Caenorhabditis elegans: one gene and its partner. The protein of the gene in region 1 purifies or fractionates together with the protein of each later gene. This does not show direct contact. Each region holds a gene or a part of one and is shown on either strand. Other genes may lie near its edges.

Region 1 (5,409 bases):
ATCCTCCAAAAATCACGTTTTTTTTCTCATTTTTCGCCTCTTTTTTTTGCAGGAAAATTCGAGTTTTTGCGATTTTTACGAGATTTTTCAGCAGTTTATAGTACTCGACGAGATGCGTCGAAAAACATACAAATCATCCAGATCCATCAGCTATGAGCTCTTTTAGAGAGCTCCAAAGTCAAATTCGCAATTTTGACCTCCCCCCTCCCACTTCGGTGTGTTTTTTTCGTGTTTTTTCGCAAACCACCGCTTCGTGCGCTGTTGTCTTTGAGAAATCTTTGGAAAAAAAATTTTTGATTTTTTTTCCAAAAACTTTTTTTTCCCTTCTCGTAGGATGGCGGTCGTTTGAGATATTTTGATTTTGAGGAAAAAAAATGAAATTACAAATATTTCTAAAGCGATAGAGCAAAAAAATTTCGAAAATTGAGTGAAAACTCACTGAGATAACCGACCTTGAAGCAAGTTACTGCCGTTTTTGGGTTGTTCATTTTTCAACTTTGAGCGTTTATTATTCACTCAATCTGAGATCAATTTCAATTTTGTTTTTTTTTTATAGATTCAAAATTTGACGCTAAATCCGAAAAACTAAGTTTCAAAAAAATTTTAGTGAATTTTTTTTTTTTTTTTTTTTTTTTTCAGCACCGCCAAAAAATCGAGTTTTTCAGCACTAATTTTTTCGAATTTTTGCGATTTTTCACTCATTTTTTGATGAATCTTTGTTTTCTTTTCTGTGTTCAATGAACAATATTGATAAAAAATGGAATCTTTCAACAATTTGTGAAAATTTGTTTTTGAAAAAATTTTGTGCCAGTTTGAAATTTTTCAAAAAATTAATTTTCTGCCTCTTGCCCAGAAAAAGTGGTTTGGTCTGGTGTTTCAACAATAATATTTTTAAAATCCTCACACCTTTTTTCATATTCCCTCAAATTTTTGTAACCCAATTCTCACTTTGAAGGGAGATACAGGCGGGAGATACAGTTCGTTGAAGGGTTGGCTGCCAACACATCGCCACCCCACCCACAGAGAGACACACATTTACGACCCAATATATTCAAATATTACCTCCTGCTCTCAGTTTTCAAGATTTTATGATGATTTTTACTTCATCAGAAAGAACACATTATCTTTCCTATTTGCAGGGATAGAGGAAGACAAAAAAAAACAATATGGATTTAAAATCAGGGCTTCGCCCCGATTTTAATAAAATATATGAAACCCTCTTAAAAAGTTACAAGAAGGTTTTTCCTTGCGCTTGGAGCGCAAAAGAAAATAAAAAGAGCTATTTAGACTTAGGGTGCCCAACTGGAATAAAACATTGGAAATCCCAATCCAACCAGCCTAAGGGCCCGAAAAACATACTAGGATGCCCAACTGGAATAAAATATTGGAAATCCTTATGACACACTTAAGCCTAAGGGCCCGAAAAAAACTAGGATGCCCAACTGGAATAAAATATTGGAAATCCTTATGACACACCGGCGGTATGGCGCGGCTTAAGCCTAAATAGCCACTTTTATCAAAATACATTTGAGCGAGGCGGTTGTAAACTATTCATTCTTTAGCAAAAATAATAAAAAAACTTTATTTAAATTTAAAAATAAATATCATATGTTATCACACCTTAGAATATCACGCCTTAATTTAGTAATCATTTTAGTTCATAAATGTGAGAGAAAGAAAAATGGATTAATCATCGGAATTAAATATCATCAGAGTGATTATATTCATCAAAGGTCTCACTTTATTGGAGGGTTAATTTGATCGATATAAAATTCCTATCTCATGTGAAAAAAGGTTCAAATTCTGTACCTATGAATACTGCCGATATCTGAATTCCTGTCTCATGGGAAGAAGGCCTTTCTTGTGGAAAGAACGGAGTTGTAAAAAATAATACGCAGGTACAGAATTTGAATTTTTCTTCCCATGAGAATTTGAATATTGGCATTCTATAACTTTACTTTAAAAAATCTCCAAAGGTTGATCGCAAATATGTAGAGATTGCTCGCATCCCTTCAAATATTACAAAATTTCCAAGTTTCTTATATATAATCTTCATTTAGATTACTGAAAAATATCCACAGATTACTTTTGAGTTGCCTGAGAAGTTATTGTAAAACGCAAGGCGAGCTGTTGGTACAGAATTTGAACTTTTCTTCCCATGAGATAGGAATTTTGATAATGGCATTCTATAACTTTACTACGAAAAAATATCCCCAAAGGTTGCTCGCTTCCCCCAAATATTACGAAATCTCCAAGTTTCTTAGTAATCTATAGTTTTCATTTAGATTACTGAAAAATATACAAAGATTACTTTTGAGTCTGAGAAGTTATTGTAAAACGCAAAGCGAGCTCAAATGTATTTTGATAAAAGTGGCTATTTAGGCTTAAGCCGCGCCATACCGCCGGTGTGTCATAAGGATTTCCAATATTTTATTCCAGTTGGGCATCCTAGTATGTTTTTCGGGCCCTTAGGCTGGTTGGATTGGGATTTCCAATGTTTTATTCCAGTTGGGCACCCTAAGTCTAAATAGCTCTTTTTATTTTCTTTTGCGCTCCAAGCGCAAGGAAAAACCTTCTTGTAACTTTTTAAGAGGGTTAGGCTTAGGCTTGGGCTTAGGTTTAGTCATAGACTTAGGCTTAGTCTTATGAAGAGTTCAGCAAAAAAAAAATTTCAGAAAATTTCAATTAAAGAAATCTAAAAAATGTTGCCCAAAATGTTAAAAAAAATTTTTTATGGATTAGGCCTAGGCTTAGGCTTAGGTGTGGGCTTAGGCTTATGAAGAGTTCAGCAAAAAAATTTTCATAAAGTTTAAAAAAAAATCTAAAAATTTTTAAAAGCCTTTTTTTAGCCCAAAAAAACATGTTTCAATTTTTTTAAATATAAAACCTACCGTAACCCATCCATTGTAATCGATACAAAAAGTTTGTTGAAAAAACTCGGACATCTCTTTGCACACACACACACTACTAGTACTCCACTGCGCCAAGATAATATTACGAAAGGATTCGTCTTCACTCGGCCGGGAACGCCAACTGTTTGTGAGAAATCACACAGAGATATTGATTTTCGAGAGAGACGCAGAGATTTGAAGGGACCAACGGGCTTCTTCCGAAACAACAAAAAATGAAAGGGATTTGTTGTGTAACGGGGGGTAGCAGGGAGAGATTGAGAATCAACAAATGGGATCGGAACTGGGAAAATCATTGTTTTTTGATGGACCTTATGACTGGTCACTTGAGAAGGTGTCAGCTTTTCTCAGGTCAAATTGTTACCATGGGAAAACAGCTAGTGGAGTCGGCAATCGAATTTTCGGCAATAGCAAAAATTGCCGATTGCCAGAAATCTGAATTTCCGAAAATATAAATCTGATACTTTTTGCAGATTTAGGAGCCTAAACATGCATTTTAAAGGTGAAGTACCGAAATTTGGGACTTTGCATTTTTAGACCCAAAATGGTCCAAAACTACCAAAATTCGTAATAAGACGTTCTGAAAACTTCTCATAAAAAAGTTATGGCCGCTCAAAGTTTTGGAAAAAATGGTTTATTTTTAGCTAAAATCTCAAATTTTGGCAACTTATCGGTGTCGCAGCAGTTGGAACTTAATTTTTATTTGATTATCATCCTTCAATGCATATTTTGGCATTTTATTTTTTGAAATAACACATAATAAAATGCCAAAAGATGTATCAGATTGAAATTAAGTTCCAACCGCTGTGACACTGAAAAGTTGCCAAAATTTGAGATTTAGCTAAAAATAGGCCATTATTTCCAAAACTTTGAGCGGCCATAACTTTTTTTTGAAAAAGTTTCAGAGCGTCTCATTACGAAATTTGGTAGTTTTTGGTCATTTTGGTTCTAAAAAAGCAAAGTCCCAAATTTCGGTACCCCACCTTTAATGAACAGTTTTCTTTTTTCAACCTCAAAATATTTTAATCCTTTAAGGATTGGCCCTTTTCTTCTAGAAAATGACCAACCGAATACTAAAAAACAATGTGAAATTTTTTCAATTTCCGAAATATAATTAGCTTTGAAAATTGCAAACAATGTCTGGCAGTCGATAATTTCGGCAAATTCGGCAATTTTGAAAAACCGGCAATTGCCGGAAATTTCCGATTGCCGCGCCTCTGAAGTATAGTACAGGGGTGGGCGGCAATTGCTGTTCAGCAAATTGATTTGTAAACAAATTCGAAAAATCGGCAAATTGCCTATTTGCCGTTTGCCGGATATCGAAAACACTTAAAAAGCTGTGTCCTTTTGAATTTTTATCCCGTTTTTTCAACATTTTTTCATAGAATTTGCTAACTTTTTAAAAAAAAGTAGGAGCATTCAAAGGATGCGTTTAATTTTACCATTTGAAATTGAAAATCTGAAATTTACAAAAAAAAATAGCGCGAAACTACAATTTGCCAAAAATTTAAAAATTTAATTGAAATTAAAAAAGGATTTAATACTAAATTAAGAAAATAAAATTTAAAAAATTTTTACATTTCCTCGGAAAAGTAATCAAAATTTGAACAAAGAATGATTTATCACCAACTATTGAAAGTTATTAAATTTCCGTCGAAAAGTTGAAAAAAAAATCTCAGCAAATTCGTATTAAATCTATGTACGGAAGTATTAAAATCATGACTTCTTGTTTTTTTTTTAAATTTAATATTCTATATTTAATGTTTAAATCAGGCTAATAAACACTTTATAAAAACGCATGTTAAAAAAATTCAAACAGTTTAAGATCTCATTTCAATCAGAATGCTCGGCGGACAATCAAAGTTCATGTTCAGAATCTGTTCCGTTTGAGTGACCTGAAAAATTCTACTTTGAGTGCAAAAATGTTATAAAAATTTTAATTGTCTTTATTTTTATTTTGAAAAAAATTTCTAAATGGCTAAATTATTGTCAAGTTCTAGTACAACTTTTTGAACACAAAAAACTTTAAAAAAAGTAAAATTATCGATTTTTAGGATAAAGTTTTTTTTTTGAGAAGCCATGCTTAAATTTATATATTAAAGAAAAATTAGAAAAATAATTTGCGCGGGAGTTCCAAAATGATTTTTTTTGCCATTTTAACTTTTAAAAACCATTATACGGGCGGAGACTTTGACCAGAATTACGCAGCCGACATTAATCGAGGCTCGCGAAAGGCTCCCCCACTTTTGGCCATCTTTCAACTTACCCATCGATAAGTTACCGCTTTCATCGCATTTGTAACATTTTTGTGCTGTCTTTTGAGGTTTAAAAGAGTCGACTCATAAACCGGCTTAAAGAATCCTTGAACCACTAAAATTTTTATCACTTTTATACAAAAAATCCAATGAGAAAAAAAAACTCACATCCCGGGCAGTTATTCTCTCGAAGAACGGTCTCATTTCGCAAGTAATCGAATCTGAATCAAATTTGGTTTAGAAAA
Region 2 (5,498 bases), on another chromosome or scaffold:
GCTTCAAAATGTTGTTTAAAAAATTATCTTATTTCCAAGATTTAATTAAAACAAACCTCAAACATATCAACCCATCGATCAATTGATCTACCAACTCTCCATTCACTTAATTGAGATTTGGCCATATTTCCCCATCGACAGGATCGTAGCGGGCGTTCACAACTCAAATCAGACATTCTTTGAAGTGGACTATTATCATATGGAGGAATACGAAGAGATGAGAATGATGATGGGAATGCTGGAATAATTAATTTTAGGTAAAATGGGAGTGATTGAGATATTTTGTTAGATTATGAAGAGTGAGGCATTGGATTTTTCTGGATGTTCAGTGAAAGTTTAAAACTTCTCTAACAAATCTAGTTTTATTTTGAAAAATTTACAGAACAAAATCTTTTAAAAAAGGATTAAAAATATCGTTTTTTTTGCGCGCCAATTTGATTTTGACTGCTTCATATCTCGAATAACTTTAAAACTTACGTGATTGCTGGCAAATCTTTCCGTGATATCTGATATGATCAATGATTGCCAAACTTCCAACAGTATTATCTTTGAGATCAAATGCTCGAATTCCAATTCTGAACGGTTCCTTAATCGGCGGAATCTCGACACGACATTCCTCATTGGCGGCTCCCAAGAAATCACACTTCATTTTTGGTCTGAGCAAGACTTGAAGATGACGTCTACGATTCATTGCTCGAAGGATGATAACTTCCACTTGAGCATTGTTGTATAGCCAGAAGCTAGAAGGATATAACTGGGATTATAATTTTATTTTGGAATCTATGTTAGTTAGAGCACAGTATTTTGCCGATCGCATACTTTGTGAGCTTTTACTCAGGCAACTCAAATCTAATATGAAAATATTAAATAGCAATATTTTTGTAGTAAAAACGAGAAATTGTGCGTCATATAAAGATTACTAAAAATTTCGATTTTTTTTTTTTATATCAGCATTTTTCAAACTATTGAATCATAGAAGAACGCTTAGTTCGTTTTTTACATATTAAAAAAAATGCAAAGACAGTAGAGATCTAAGCTTTCAAAGAAGAGCAAACACATTTTATTTCAAAAAAAATTTAGGCCCTCCAACTTTGTGCTTAAAATTCTTAAAATTATCTTTGACAATACCTGAAAGTCAAGTTGGCAAATCCTTTTTGACAAGCAATTGGAGCACTGCTCAACACTGCTCCATTCGGATTTTTCGTCGTATTTCCAGCAATTATAAAATGTTCGCCTTTTGGAATTACAGGATTTCCGGGCTGGATTTGAACTGGGAAAGTTTTCTCGTCATTTTTCTGAAATTGTTTAATTTTTTAAAAAAGTTTTGAAAAATTGTAAGTATAGAATTTATAGATTTGTCTAACAAAATCGTCAAAAAATTTGGAACGCTTCACGAATTTGCGTGTCATCCTTGCGCAGGGGCCATGCTAATCTTCTCTGTATTGTTCCAATTTTAGTATATGTTCTCGGAAGAACAAACATTTAGATTTACATTTCAATTATATAGGGACCATTAACAATGCAGCTGGCATATTTGGAGTTATGTAAGACACTATACCAAATGTAGATGTAGATCAATAATTTGTGCACCTATTCTATAGCGATACCAATATCGATTTGCATCTCCACTTCCCTAGCATAGTCATAGTGTCTTACATAACTCCAAATATGTCAGCTGCTGTGTAAATGGTCCCTATATAATTGAAATGTAAATCTAACTGTTCGTTCTTCCGAGAACATATACTAAAATTGGAACAATACAGAGAAGATTAGCATGGCCCCTGCGCAAGGATGACACGCAAATTCGTGAAGCGTTCCAAATTTTTTCTATAATTTTTGGTGAACTTTCCAATGGTTCTAAAGTTGAACTGTATAATTGAATTGTCTGAATAAATTCTCGAAATGTTGCCACTTTCAATCGAGTTTTTGAAATGTTTTTTTTTTGAAACTTTCAGTTAAAACTAGTTCATAAAACCAATTAGTTGCCAAAATTAGTTGGTATCTTTTACATATTATTCGTCTCAAAACTGAAAGCTAAATATTGTATATTATACCCTGGCCTACATATAGCGTAGGATATGGAATTTCACATACATTTTTATTTCTAATTGAACAATTATACCACATTCAAAGTTTGTATTCAGCGAAATCTATAACTGAGATCGTGACAAGACCCACTCAGAAAAGGTTTTATATTCCAAAAAAAGAATAGAATGGCACAAGACATTTGAAGGAAAGTTTTTCATGAATAACAAACCTTAAAATACCACCAATCACTGGTATCCAAAAGCTTATCAGTCGGCGCATTTCTCCAAAGACATTCGGTCTCAAAGTCACAGTTGAGTTCATCAGGTGACTCAATATACGTGGCAAATCCAACGGCCTCTGAAATCCACGTGATTGTGGTTTTTTTTTGCAGATCCTCGTGGTTTGATAATTTTAGCTGTTTAAAAACAAAAAAACACTTCACATTAAAATTGCTTATTTATCACTAATTTTTAAGAACGAATCTAAAACCAGATTTTTTATGAAAGTAAAAATCGGCTGATTTATTGTTGTTACATACTTTTGTTACAGAAATTAGCGAAATATTAGCGAAATCTGGATAAAATACCGTAATTTTACTACTACTGTACTACTGTAGATTTTGAAGTACTTCATTAAAAGCTCACGGAATTATTCAGACGGGCCTCGGCGCGCAAAAAAGTTTATGGTAGTTTTATTTGTTCATTGGATGTAGTATTGTATTTTTTTTCAATGAAATCACATGGTTTTCAGCTGTAATAAATCGTTGACAATCAGTTTTCAAAGTTTAAATAAAAATTAAACTACCGCGAACTTTTAATTCCGTGCGCCTTTAATAAGGAACTACAAAATCAAGTAAATTTCCGATAAAGCTTAAATTTTTGGAAAAAAAAATCTCGTCAAAATTCAGAGTAAATCCAAAAAAAACTGGAAAATGTTGAAAAAAACATTTTTAAAAAATCGGGATGTGGCCATAAATTATTGAAAAAAAATTGAATTTTTCCAAAAAATCGAAAATTTAGACTTTTTTCGTTCGGAGCAAAAAACAGTAAATTCCTTCAAAAAACCAAAAAACCAACCTTCCACAGGAATCTCTCCATTATTATCTGGCCTAATACCAAGATACAAGTCTAAATATCGAAGCTCTTTTTGAAATTGAGCATGACATGCTTCTAGAGATGGTAGAAAAATGAGCAAAAGTGCAAATTTCTTCCAGATCATTATTTTCGAGAGGCAAAAAGGGTGTGTACAGGCGAAGAACAATGGCAGATGCGCGGGCCAGGAGAAGCAGGCGAGAGGAACGAACCGGCTTCCGAATCACTATTGATATGGAGAATAGACGGGTTCGTTATATCATTTGATCATTCACCGAATCCCCATTCAACCTGAGAGAGAGAATGATGGATTTCGGAATCAATCAATAATTTATTTGGACCATATTTACTATTAAGTTTTACATAAATAAAATTGAAAGGAAAAAAAAAACATAATTTCGGTATCACAGAAGACAGTGTGGTTTGAACGAAATGGAAAGAGTAGGTAGGGATACAAAAAAAACAGGAAGAAAATATTTTGCCAGCAAAATCACGGCGAATACGATATCGTAGATTTACAAGATCTCTGAGATGTCTTCTTAAAGGCGCACGGTTTTATGGGTCTCGGCGAGCCCAAAAAAATTTTTATGGTATTTAATTTTGTTTATTTTCTTTGCATTTATCACATAAGTTAAAAATTGTTTTAAATCAGTTTGAGAAAAAAAAACAAGAAAGCCGAAACATATCTGAAAAAAACCTGTGCGCCTTTAAGAAGACACTTAAAAAATCCTGCGAAAGTACGGTGTATGCGTTATAAATTAAATATTATACAGGAAACCTATTCGATTTAAAAAAAGAAAAGTTGATTGGAAGTATTACATGTTCTATGACAAGATTGACCCCCCAAAGAAAACAAAAAAGAAACCCGATTTTTAGTAATCCCACAGCCTTATTACTCGTCCTCATCATCTGTCACTGGCTGTTTTAGGTTTCGAAGAAGGCGTCGGTAGGCTGACATTTTATTGTGTTGATCAGCGAGAAGCATCAGAAGTTCTTCTTGTTCTTGTTTCAGTTTTGAAAACTCTTCGGAGTCAGCCTGAAAATTTGAAATGTTTGAATTATTTTCACTGAGATAAAGCTCAAAAGCTACTCATCGAAACGTTTTTATTTTAGTTTTTTTCCAGAGAAAATTGAAAAAAAAATGAAAAAGTGGATGAAAAATCTGTAGCAAAAAATAATTTCTTCAGAAAAAATCGAACCAAAATTTAAAAGTAGTTTTTTGAAAAACGAAATAATTAATTTTTTCATAGAAAAATTATATTTTAAGTGTTTGATATTTTTAGAATTTTTTATTATTTTTTCAGCTTTTTTCAAAAAAAAAATTGAAATTTTATCAAGTTTTGCTCAAATTAACCTCAAATATATAACTATTTTTATATATATATATATTTTTTCCTTCTTAAAAAAAAGAAATCTGTTAAAAAATCAAGGTTTCGAAAAACTGAAATTTTACACATTTTTTCGATTTTTTAATGAAAAAATCGATAATTTTGGTAAGATTTTCCATCTTTTCCAATAAAATTATACTTTTTCAGTGTTTTTTCTAGAAATTCCTGAAATTTCGAAAATTCCACTCGAATTCTACCTGTGGTTCGTGCTCCACAACTATTCCATTCGAAATTGGCTTCAAATTCAATTGCTCAATTTTATAATTGGCTTCAGCGAGAGCAGCTTCCGTTTTCGCGAGTCTATCTTTAAGATTTGCATTCTCTGATGTATAGTGGAGCATCTGAAATATGTAAATTTTATTTTTATGGTTATTTTATTTTTTTTTGGTTATTTTTTTTATTTTAGACCAAACGGAAGCCGAAAAAAAATTTTTCGAATAAATTTAAGCATCGAATTGTTTTTTGGTTTTTTTTGATTTTCGCAGATTTAAATGTTTAGTTTTTTGATCCAATTGTGTCATTTTTCGATTTTTCGATTTTCCGGAAAATCGAAAAAAATTTCCGAAAATTAACCACAAAATATGATTTTACAAAATCAAATTTTTGTTTTATTGATGAGAAAAAAAATAAATATTTTCATCAAAAAAAGAAGAACCCTGACCAAAATTTTAAGCTAATTTTTGAAAAATCGACAAATTTTTTTTTCGAAAAAACGAAAATTTTCGATTTTTCGATTTTCTGATAAAATCTCCTGTCTACCATACCGTTTGTGATTGCTGTTCGAATGCCTGATATCCAAATCCGAGTTGCTGCTCCAACTCGTTGACTTGTTGCTGAAGCTGAGCCAATCCCGTCTCTACACCATTCGGAAGCTGTGCCAACTGATAGGCTTGCCATTGTTGAGCCCATTGCTTGTATCGTTCGGCTTCTGCATACCATTGTTGTGTGAGTCTCTGTGACTCTACTAGCTGACTATTCAGCACTTCATTTT

Evidence for each region.
Region 2: the proteins of acs-16 (region 1) and mam-3 fractionate together in Caenorhabditis elegans (co-fractionation; one large-scale study listed by BioGRID). This does not show direct contact.

The regions. Positions count from the first base shown.
Region 1 is NC_003279.8:1,468,857-1,474,265, reverse strand, and holds the start of acs-16 (AMP-dependent synthetase/ligase domain-containing protein), read right to left. Parts: upstream 3,192-5,409; 5' UTR 2,946-3,191; coding exon 2,892-2,945; intron 1-2,891. Other genes in the region: F47G6.3 (LEM domain-containing protein), read right to left, coding at 4,730-4,804, 5,176-5,279, 5,333-5,385.
Region 2 is NC_003282.8:13,442,021-13,447,518, forward strand, and holds the start of mam-3 (MAM domain-containing protein), read right to left. Parts: upstream 3,356-5,498; 5' UTR 3,247-3,355; coding exon 3,105-3,246; intron 2,386-3,104; coding exon 2,258-2,385; intron 1,827-2,257; exon of another isoform or gene 1,725-1,826; intron 1,482-1,724; exon of another isoform or gene 1,364-1,481; intron 1,296-1,363; coding exon 1,129-1,295; intron 741-1,128; coding exon 478-740; intron 239-477; coding exon 57-238; intron 1-56. Other genes in the region: uso-1 (Uso1_p115_head domain-containing protein), read right to left, coding at 4,012-4,155, 4,705-4,848, 5,272-5,498.